2 linked regions of the Solanum lycopersicum genome follow. The protein of the gene in region 1 interacts with the protein of each later gene in a biochemical or structural test. Links are inferred from orthologs where the notes say so. Each region holds a gene or a part of one and is shown in the gene's direction. Other genes may lie near its edges. The genes, in order: peroxisome biogenesis protein 5 and peroxisomal membrane protein PEX14.

Region 1 (4,621 bases):
AAATATGATTTATACCTATAAGTTTTAGAAACAACCATAAGTTTGTATTACAAGTCAATTAAATCTTCGTTGCAATAAATATCAAGTAACGTACATGACACTGGAGCAATATAATAGTTTGGAGTCACTGTAACAAGCATCATTGTTCCATAATCGTAAAGTAGACAAAGCACATGATTTTATTTATCTTGAGCCGATTGTTCATCATTTTCATCAACAACCATATAAACACTTTCATATTCGTATTAAATATTTCATCACTATTTTAGTATTCACATAATAAAATATGTAATACTATCAAACAATTACTACAGAGGGTGTTTTTATAAGAAAAAATTGTATAAAACGACAAACTAATAAATCAAATTAATTGTTATAACCACCCTTTGATTTAATTGTGTCCCATAACAAACTGTTTATCAGTCACCTCTCTCCCTCGAACTCTTGCTCGCCACTCTCCTCTCTTGCTCCATCTCTCGCTTGCTTCCTCTCACTTTTATACAAATACAAGTGTATAAAATTTGTTTCTATTTATATAAAGTAAGAGGAAATTGTATAAATACATATACTTTTGCCCTCTCTCCCCTCTCCCAAATCTCACTCGCTACCCTGGACTCTCTCGCTTATACAAATAGAAACGAAATGTATAAATTGCATTTATGTTTGTATAAAGCGAGACAAAATTGTATGTACACATGCAAATACATATATTTTCGTTCTATATACTTATAATTATACAATAAAAATACTCCCCTGCCCAGTTTCTTTTACCTTTATCTCTTTCTCGTTTTATACAAATTCAAATTGAATATAATTTTTCTCTTTCTCTTTTTCGTTTTATACAATTCGATTCAATTGTATATTTCATGCCCAAGTCTCTTATGCTTACTCTCTTTCTCATTTTATACAAATTCAAAGTGTATAATTATACAATTCTCTGTCCAAGTCTCTTTCTCTTTCTCGTTTTATACACTTTTTCATATTGCTTCTTTCAAGTGTGAAACAGGTCCAAAGTTCGGACTAGGAATTATTATTTTTTCAGAGAAGAAAAACGGCACACGGACCGTACTCGAGCTTTGGATTAATGTCCCCAGAAGCAAGGAGCATGCCTGCGTGTTTCAACGAGAACACCGAAAAAATCTAACCCCAAGCTTGTGGTCCTCCTTTGAGTGTGCGTTCAATTGAATGAATCTGTCAAGTCAAGGAACCCGTACGTAGCAGCAAGGATGGTGCATCGCCTATTTATCGTTCTCGCTCGGGAGCCAAAACGAACACGCCTGCTACCTACTGTATTGGACCTTCGACCAAGCATTCTACCTTTGTCGAATCGGAACCAACACCATTGCATTACCCTCAAACTTTATACAATTCGCTTCAATTTTATGTGTATAGCGAATTTATACATTTATATGTTTTCTATGGAGTACATTATGCAAACTTTGCTATAACATATAAATATAAATTTTATGTTTGTTATATGTGAAAGTTATCCTTTTAATAAATGGTAAAAGTTTGATGTAAAATTTTAATTTTTGAAAGATTTCAATTAATGAAATTTAATCCAAATATTTAGAAAAAATTAGTATTTAAAATATTTATTAAATAATAACAAATTATATAGCCTGCTGGTCACATTTCCCAATAGCGATAAAAACGACCAAACCCCAATTTCTGTCCATCACAAATAATCACGACTCCCTTCCCTATATTCCCACACAATCACTACACAACAAGTTTTACACCTCACCGTCTCCTCCGTCGACCGTCGTCTTCTTAACCGCCGGCACCATCTCTCCTCCCTTCAATCGACTACAATTCGTATAATATCATATAATACTGACAAAAGAGGGAAGAAAACTCGAACAAAGTCATGGCGATGAGAGACTTGGTCACCGGTGCTCCTAGTTGTGGCGAACCTTCTTCTTCTTCTAATCCACTTGGTGCTCTCGCTAACGCACTCATCGGTTCATCATCTAAGACTCAGGTATATCGTAATTCTCTCTTCCTTCGTGAAACAGCAGCTTATGAATACTCAATTTGGACAGAAATGGATGTATGTTATTGTGATTAAGATTATATTGTACTTGATTGATTGATATATAATCTCATACATGAAGAAATTTGTTCATCCATGTCTTCTATATACTTGTTTGCTTACGCAGTGTTAAATTGCTAACGAATTAGTTAGATTTGCTGATTGAGTTGAGTTTAGTCGGTGAAGCATCAAATAGAGAAAATCGCGATAAGGTTATTTTATATAGCTGTGGTATTTTTGAAGCATATAAGCAAGCAACTTATTAATATTGAATTCAGAGTGAAATGGATGTATATAACTGAGATTAAGGTGCGGTATATTTATTGATATATACAGTTTCATACACTAAGAATTTCATTCACAAATGCTTTTCTAGCTGTTTGTTTGTTATGTGTTGGATTTTAAGCACTACTACACCAACATTGTGTATTTCCTTTAAATTGCTGGCTAATTAGTTCGATTTGCTAATTGTGAATCTGTGCTGATCTTTGTGTAGTTGAGTTTAGTCCACTTCAATAGGCACATCACTTCTTCTATAGGTTGAAGCACATATAGATTCTCAGCTGAGAAAACATCGATAAAGTTATTGTTTGATTGCTCTTAGGATAATTTATGATTGGGAAGTGTTACAACTGTGATATTTTTGAAGCATATAAGCAAGCAGCTTATTAATACTGAATAAGAGGAAATGGATATATATCATTGTGTTTAAGGTGCAGTTGACTGATTGATTATTTGATATACAATCTCATACATGAAGTAATTCGTTTACATGTGTTTCCTCTAGCTGCTTGTTTGTTCCGAATTCCTATAAATCGCTGATTCTTTTTCCAATTTGCTAATTTTGTATATGTGCAGAACTTTATGTAGTTGAGTGTAGTCCATTCTAATTGGAAGACCACTTATTTGGGTTGAAGTACCTATAAATACTCAACTATGTAAACCTCTATAAGGTTATTGTTTGGTTTCTCTTTTGAATGATTCATGACTGGGAAGTGACTGATAACTATGATATCTTGGAGCATATATAAGCAAGCAGGTTATCTATCCCACTTTCAGACCGAAATGGATGTATTGTTTGATGCACATTTCAAGTAAATTGCTGATGAATTAGTTTAACTTGCTAATTGTGAATCCTAGCGGAGCTTTCTGTAGTTTAGTTTAATGTCTACTCTACACTAGGAATAGGCGTCTCTTAACGTCTAGTCTATACTAGCATCAGCATAGTTGTTAATTGTAGTGGTTACACACATGTATCTATACTGAAAAATTTTGTTGACAGAAATAGCCTGAGATGGACAAAAGTGCTTAAATAACATTTCAGGTTATCCTTCGGGGTCGCCCAGTGGTTTGGGCTTGGGACTTCCATTGTTGGAGTTCTCAAGTTCGAAACCCCTTGCCAATGAAAGCAAGGGGTTTGCCTTTTGGGTCGAGCTCGTTGCACTGGACTTGCCTAGTGTGGGTTACCTCTCCTATGTGGTTTGCGAGCTATTGAATAGGAAGGGGGGTTTTACCTTGTGCGCACCCAAAGGGTAGCGGCTGCGGATTTCCCTTGTCATAAAAAAAAAGACATTTCAGGTTCAAAGTGTATTGTGTGTAGATGTGTTATGGACTTGCATTAACCTGATTGATGGTTCATCTCTCTTACAGGAGAGGCTAAAAGAGATCCCTACATCAGTAAGTACATCGTCCAATGGCAACTTCCTTGCGGGTGTTGAAGAGCCATTTGTCTCGCTTCCAGGATCAGAGTTTGAACATCCACTTCAGCCTAATATTCAGGTTAATGTATATAGATGCTTGTGGGTTGTGAGGGATCCAACTTTGAGTGCATTACTCATTTGTAATTCAACTTTCTCAGGGTTCCCAATTCCTTCAAGGGTATCGTTCTGCTGATCAAAATAAGCTTGCTGATGCTTGGGATGAGATACAAAGGCCTCAACTTCCTTTTCCTCATGGAAGTCAGAACATGACAAACATCCCTTTGGAGCATGCTCGGCTTCAACCCGATTTGAATGGTAACACTAAACAGTCTCTTCAATCATTACTTTTATGAATTTGAACACGACTAATATGCAAATGGGTTGTTGTGTGTATTTGTCAATATGGCAATGAAAAACTGTAGTAGAAGGATCCTGTATGTGTATGTGTGTGTGAATTATACCGTGGATGGAGAATACTCATATTTGATTGTTGAGAAGCCTATACGAGTTCATTTATTGTGCTTCAACTTTTCAAAGGACATGATAGATATCGATATGTTGATCATATAGGTAAAAGGCACATCAGAGAAAATGATTGAACTTGTACCTGGTTGGCATTTCACATTTCCAACCTGGTGCTTTCGTTTTATTGTTGATAACTAGTTAATATCGATAAGTTTATGTGGATGGTGATTGCCAGTATGTGTGAAGAAAATAGTATGATATGAGGAACTAATTTCATGAACTTTGTTGTATGTTCATATGAGTTTGATTGCCTTTTCCCCAATCTAGGGCCTCCACAACAAGTATTGTCTAGCTTTCTGCACTCGTTTGTCAACAGCGGTCATGGTGGTGTTCCGTTTCGTCCTGCTTCACTACCATTATT
Region 2 (4,401 bases), on another chromosome or scaffold:
GCCCTAATCTATCTGCTGTTACTCTTGATTTTAATAAAATCATCTTATTCGATACAGCTTCTGGAAAAGCTGCCGAGTTTGGACCCCTTAAAGATGGCTATATGTTTGAATCATCAACTGGTTTGTCACGGATGTAAGTTTCTATTTTGGCTTTCACTTGCAACAGTGAAATCTTTGGTTTAGATTTTACTGTAACCTTAACTTGCTCATCAGAATAGAAACAAGAAAAAGGGTTGAAGGTCTTGTTGCATGCTATTCCCTTAGCTACATGTTCATCTTTTTGTATTTTTTTCCTAGGCTGCTGAGCTCACCAACATGTCCAGTTCTTGAAGGTCTTGGAAAGAAGCTAGCTTTTGAGATAGCTGTTGGTTTAAACGGCCGTGTGTGGGTATATATAAATCTGTTCATTCTCTATTTATTGTGGTTGATCCGTCCATCTCTTTCTAAGTCTCAAATACTTTTGCCTCTATTCTCAATTTAGATACTTGTTCTGCTGTAATAGGTAAATGCTGAGCACCAATCGTCAATCATCCTTGCTGCGAATGCAATAATGAACTCTGAGTCCTTGACCTCAGTGCAACAAAAGATTATGGTGGAGAAGCTGCTTGACAGAGTAAATTGAACTGGATTTAGCATTTCGACCACATAGCCTCTAGCAGCCAAATGATGTGATGGATAATGTGATTGTAACCAGACCGCGGAACATAAATGTTACACAAGCTTCTTCCTCATGGACTTTTAGCCTGCGGCTTTCCAGTTCATCACTCATGAAACCGTCCTGCTTGTTTATGTGATTCTTGTGAGAGTATAGAGAAAAGATGTAACATTATTAGCAGAATTGATTGTCCATGCAAACATTTTGTCCATGGTGTTGTATTTATTCTTCAAATCAATCTTCTGTCCCTCTAAACAGATTTACATTTTTCGGCTTATCAGTCTCTCTTTTTTCTATTGTGGTTTCTGTGTCAGCCTGCATGGACCTTGACTCGTTTAACAAGGTACTTGTTACCTTCACCAACTCGGAGAAAGCGGAGCAAGAATATATTTGATGATTTCTAAGAACTTTTAATTATTTTGCCTTAGGTTACTATAACATGCAAATCTTAATATATTTTTTTCTTTTTAAATGATTGGTAAATTATGTTACCTCTTATAATTTTCTAGGTAAGAGTACCACACAACTTTAGCTCTCAAGACTAAAGGGAACATGCTACACTAAACTACATTTTTAAGTTTTAATCTTTTATCTACGTAATAATAACTTTATCAGTTACGTGTTAGACTAAAAATAATGAAAAAGAAAAAGACAGAGAAAAAGGAGCTTGACTCTTTGAGGGCCATGTTATCTGCAAAGGGTTTTGTCTTCTTGTTATTTTGTATATCAATAAGCAATTTCGCACACAGAAAAGCTAGTAATAGCATTTGCTTCGAGATGAGCAAAATCCACTTGTGGGTTCTGACATACTATCATCAATAATCAATTCGTCTTGAGGTAATTCGGTGCCTATTTCTATGTTAACAAAAAAAAAGTTTGGATTTTTTTTCCTTTTCTTCTCTTCTCCTCTAATCTTGGCATGTTCTTTTTCTTGTACTGTTCTTGAAATTCAGTTCAATAGGAGTTGGATAACATGGCGTCTCAATCAGATTCTCCACCCAACTCCGTAAACGAGAATACCCAGAATCCAGGTACCCTTTTAGTTGCTTTTCTTTGATGAAAGTTGTTGCTCTGCTACTGTTTAGTTGATTCTTGAATATCAGACAGAAATAGATCGTGATGTTTAGTTATTGCTGCTACTTTGTTATCTGAAAAGAAGTATTTGCCATAAAGATCGAATCTTTTTGGACTTTATGATGTTTGTGCCTTTTTGTCTTTAACTGGGATAGGAGCATGTAATTGTGCTTCTTTTTTCTTTTATGGATGGTTGCTACTTTTGGTTTGTTAAGCAATAAAGTAGTACTAACTTGATATTGTTACATCTAATGATCATTTGTTTAATACTGTAGCTTGTGTTGTTAGAAGCCGTATGATTTTGGTGTAGTGCAAATCTTCGAGATAATTAGGTTTTTTCTGTGTTCTTAAACATTTACCTTAGCAACTAATGACAGGTTTAAGCCTAATGTTCTTAAATAAATGGATTGATTTGATATCCAGTAACTGTATATAATGTGCATATTGATAACTAGGTGATTTTGTTTTCAGTGTGAGGCTTCTGAGGATGGTAGGTTCATTAACTAGATAATTTTCTCTACGAGGCTTTGCACAATCATAGATTAGAATGCACCAGCAAACCCTCTCAACAAGAGAAACGATGTTGTATGAAATAGATAATTTGATGCTATATCGTGATCCAAACTTAAATTTCTAATTTGAAGCAACAGAGAATTTCATGATATATCGTAATCCAAGCTTAAATTTCTAATTTGAAGCAACAGCTTCGCAACCAGCAGCTGAAAATCATCAAGGTCCCAAGCCTGAGGCTGCAAGTGGGAGCTCTCCAGCTTCTGTGTTTGTAAACTCGGAACCAATTCGGGAGGACCAAGTCCAGAATGCTATGAAATTTCTTTCACATCCAAAAGTTAGGGGATCTCCAGTCATGTATAGGCGTTCTTTTCTTGAGAGGAAGGGGCTTACAAAGGAGGAAATTGACGAGGCCTTTCGTCGAGTTCCTGTAAGCCACATTTAGATTTTTTACATTTGATATTGTCTTAAATGTAACTGTAATATCTACATGAAATTTAAGATATATATTGATTTTGTGCCTAAATTACAGGATCCTACCCCAACTGTTACTAGCACACAGCCAGTTGCTGCTAATGAAGGTAATTCATATTGTTCTCGAAATAAGTTTGGCCTTTTATTCTTTTCTTGAGATTGATACTGTTTGGAGCCTATGCTTGTCATGTTGTCCTGATATATTGATGACAGATGGGACACAGAAGCCTTCATCGACTAGTACATCACAGGCTGCTTTACAAAATCTGCAGCCAGCGTCAGCTCCGAGCAATAGCATGAAAAAAATGGGGTATCTCTCTCATTTCCATTGGACTCATGCAGTTATTGCTGTAGGTCTACTCGCTGCTTCAGGAGCTGGAACAGCTGTACTTTTCAAGGTATTGCATAGTAAAGAGCTTTCTATTTATCATGCCAATCCGTACCATATTGTACTTTTTCTTCTGTCTATTCCCCATTTCTTCAGTGTAGATTTATTTTTCATAAGCGAGACATCTCAAACTTTTATTTGTGGTGGTTCAGTTTATTATTAGTTTAGTAAATTGGTTGAACTTATTGACCGAAACAAAGAAAAGAAAAGAAAAGAAAAAAAGCCTAATGATTTCATACAAATTACAAAAGGTGGTATTTGATTAATGATGGGTATCTCATAGATGTAACTCTGGCCTCTCATATGTGAGGAGCTTGCATGGTGATGGAAAATTTGACCACGCCTATATACTCTAGATGCAGGTCATTTCAAAAAAGCGTGTACCTTAACTGAAGAACTATTTGAAGATTTTTAGTTAACCCTGTTCTGACTTTTGTGTTCCTTCTTTCTTTATTATAAATATCCCTGTTATGAAGATTTTCTTCAGATTTATTTGGTCTCCTCCGATGCTTTATCTTATTAGATCCATCTCTAAAGTAGGATTCTGGTGCTTATGACAATCTATTGGAAACTTTTCTCATGGACTACTCACTATATTTATCACCCACTGTTAAGTGACACGTCCATTTGCAGAAATCTATTATTCCCCGGTTGAAGTCTTGGATACGCAAGGTTGTAATGGATGAAGAAGAAGATGAAAAAGGTATTGTCAAGGGAAAACCAAGTTTAGCAGAAGAAGCTGCTGTTGCTGCAAAAGCTGCAGCAGCTGCTGCTGCTGATGTTGCCCGAGCAAGCCAGGAGATGTTGGCATCAAAATCCGAAGGTTGGTAATGTAAATTCTTATGTAATAACAAGTTAAGAACTGGATCTGAAATAAAATAAACTGAAATATTGTTCAACATTGGTGACTTAAATCTTTCATCCTCTTTCTTATCCAGTGCTTATTTTTTTTTACCATCGATAATCATGTTGTGATTTAACTTGTGTTCCTCCACAGAGAAAAGGTATTTTGAGGAGCTGACAAGCCTGCTAAACTATCAAGTACGTGAGATGAAATCAATGACAAGTGCTATAGAGAAACTGGAAGGTGTGCCTCTTCATTTGCTCTTGAAGTAGAAATTCTCTACTTAATCAATAGGTTTTTGCATATTGACCATTTTTTGCTAGTACATGAGATGAAATCAGTGACAAGTGCTATAGAGAAACTGGAAGGTGTGCCTCTTCATTTGCTCATGAAGTAGAAATTCTCTACTTAATCAATAGATTTTTTGCATATTGACCATTTTTTGCTTTTAGGGGG

What was found.
Region 2: the proteins of peroxisome biogenesis protein 5 (region 1) and peroxisomal membrane protein PEX14 form a complex in vitro, tested with the Arabidopsis thaliana proteins (2 studies listed by BioGRID, with this or other methods). The link is inferred for Solanum lycopersicum from reciprocal best matches to the Arabidopsis thaliana genes PEX5 and PEX14.

What each region holds. Positions count from the first base shown.
Region 1 is NC_090809.1:802,319-806,939, reverse strand, and holds the start of peroxisome biogenesis protein 5, read left to right. Parts: upstream 1-1,615; 5' UTR 1,616-1,870; coding exon 1,871-1,984; intron 1,985-3,685; coding exon 3,686-3,814; intron 3,815-3,893; coding exon 3,894-4,050; intron 4,051-4,527; coding exon 4,528-4,621. UniProt on the Arabidopsis thaliana protein: Receptor that mediates peroxisomal import of proteins containing a C-terminal PTS1-type tripeptide peroxisomal targeting signal (SKL-type).
Region 2 is NC_090805.1:46,438,894-46,443,294, forward strand, and holds the start of peroxisomal membrane protein PEX14, read left to right. Parts: upstream 1-1,324; 5' UTR 1,325-1,492; intron 1,493-1,608; 5' UTR 1,609-1,628; coding exon 1,629-1,686; intron 1,687-2,427; coding exon 2,428-2,669; intron 2,670-2,771; coding exon 2,772-2,820; intron 2,821-2,926; coding exon 2,927-3,111; intron 3,112-3,734; coding exon 3,735-3,924; intron 3,925-4,098; coding exon 4,099-4,188; intron 4,189-4,401. Other genes in the region: uncharacterized protein, read left to right, coding at 58-133, 298-388, 503-622. UniProt on the Arabidopsis thaliana protein: Component of the PEX13-PEX14 docking complex, a translocon channel that specifically mediates the import of peroxisomal cargo proteins bound to PEX5 receptor.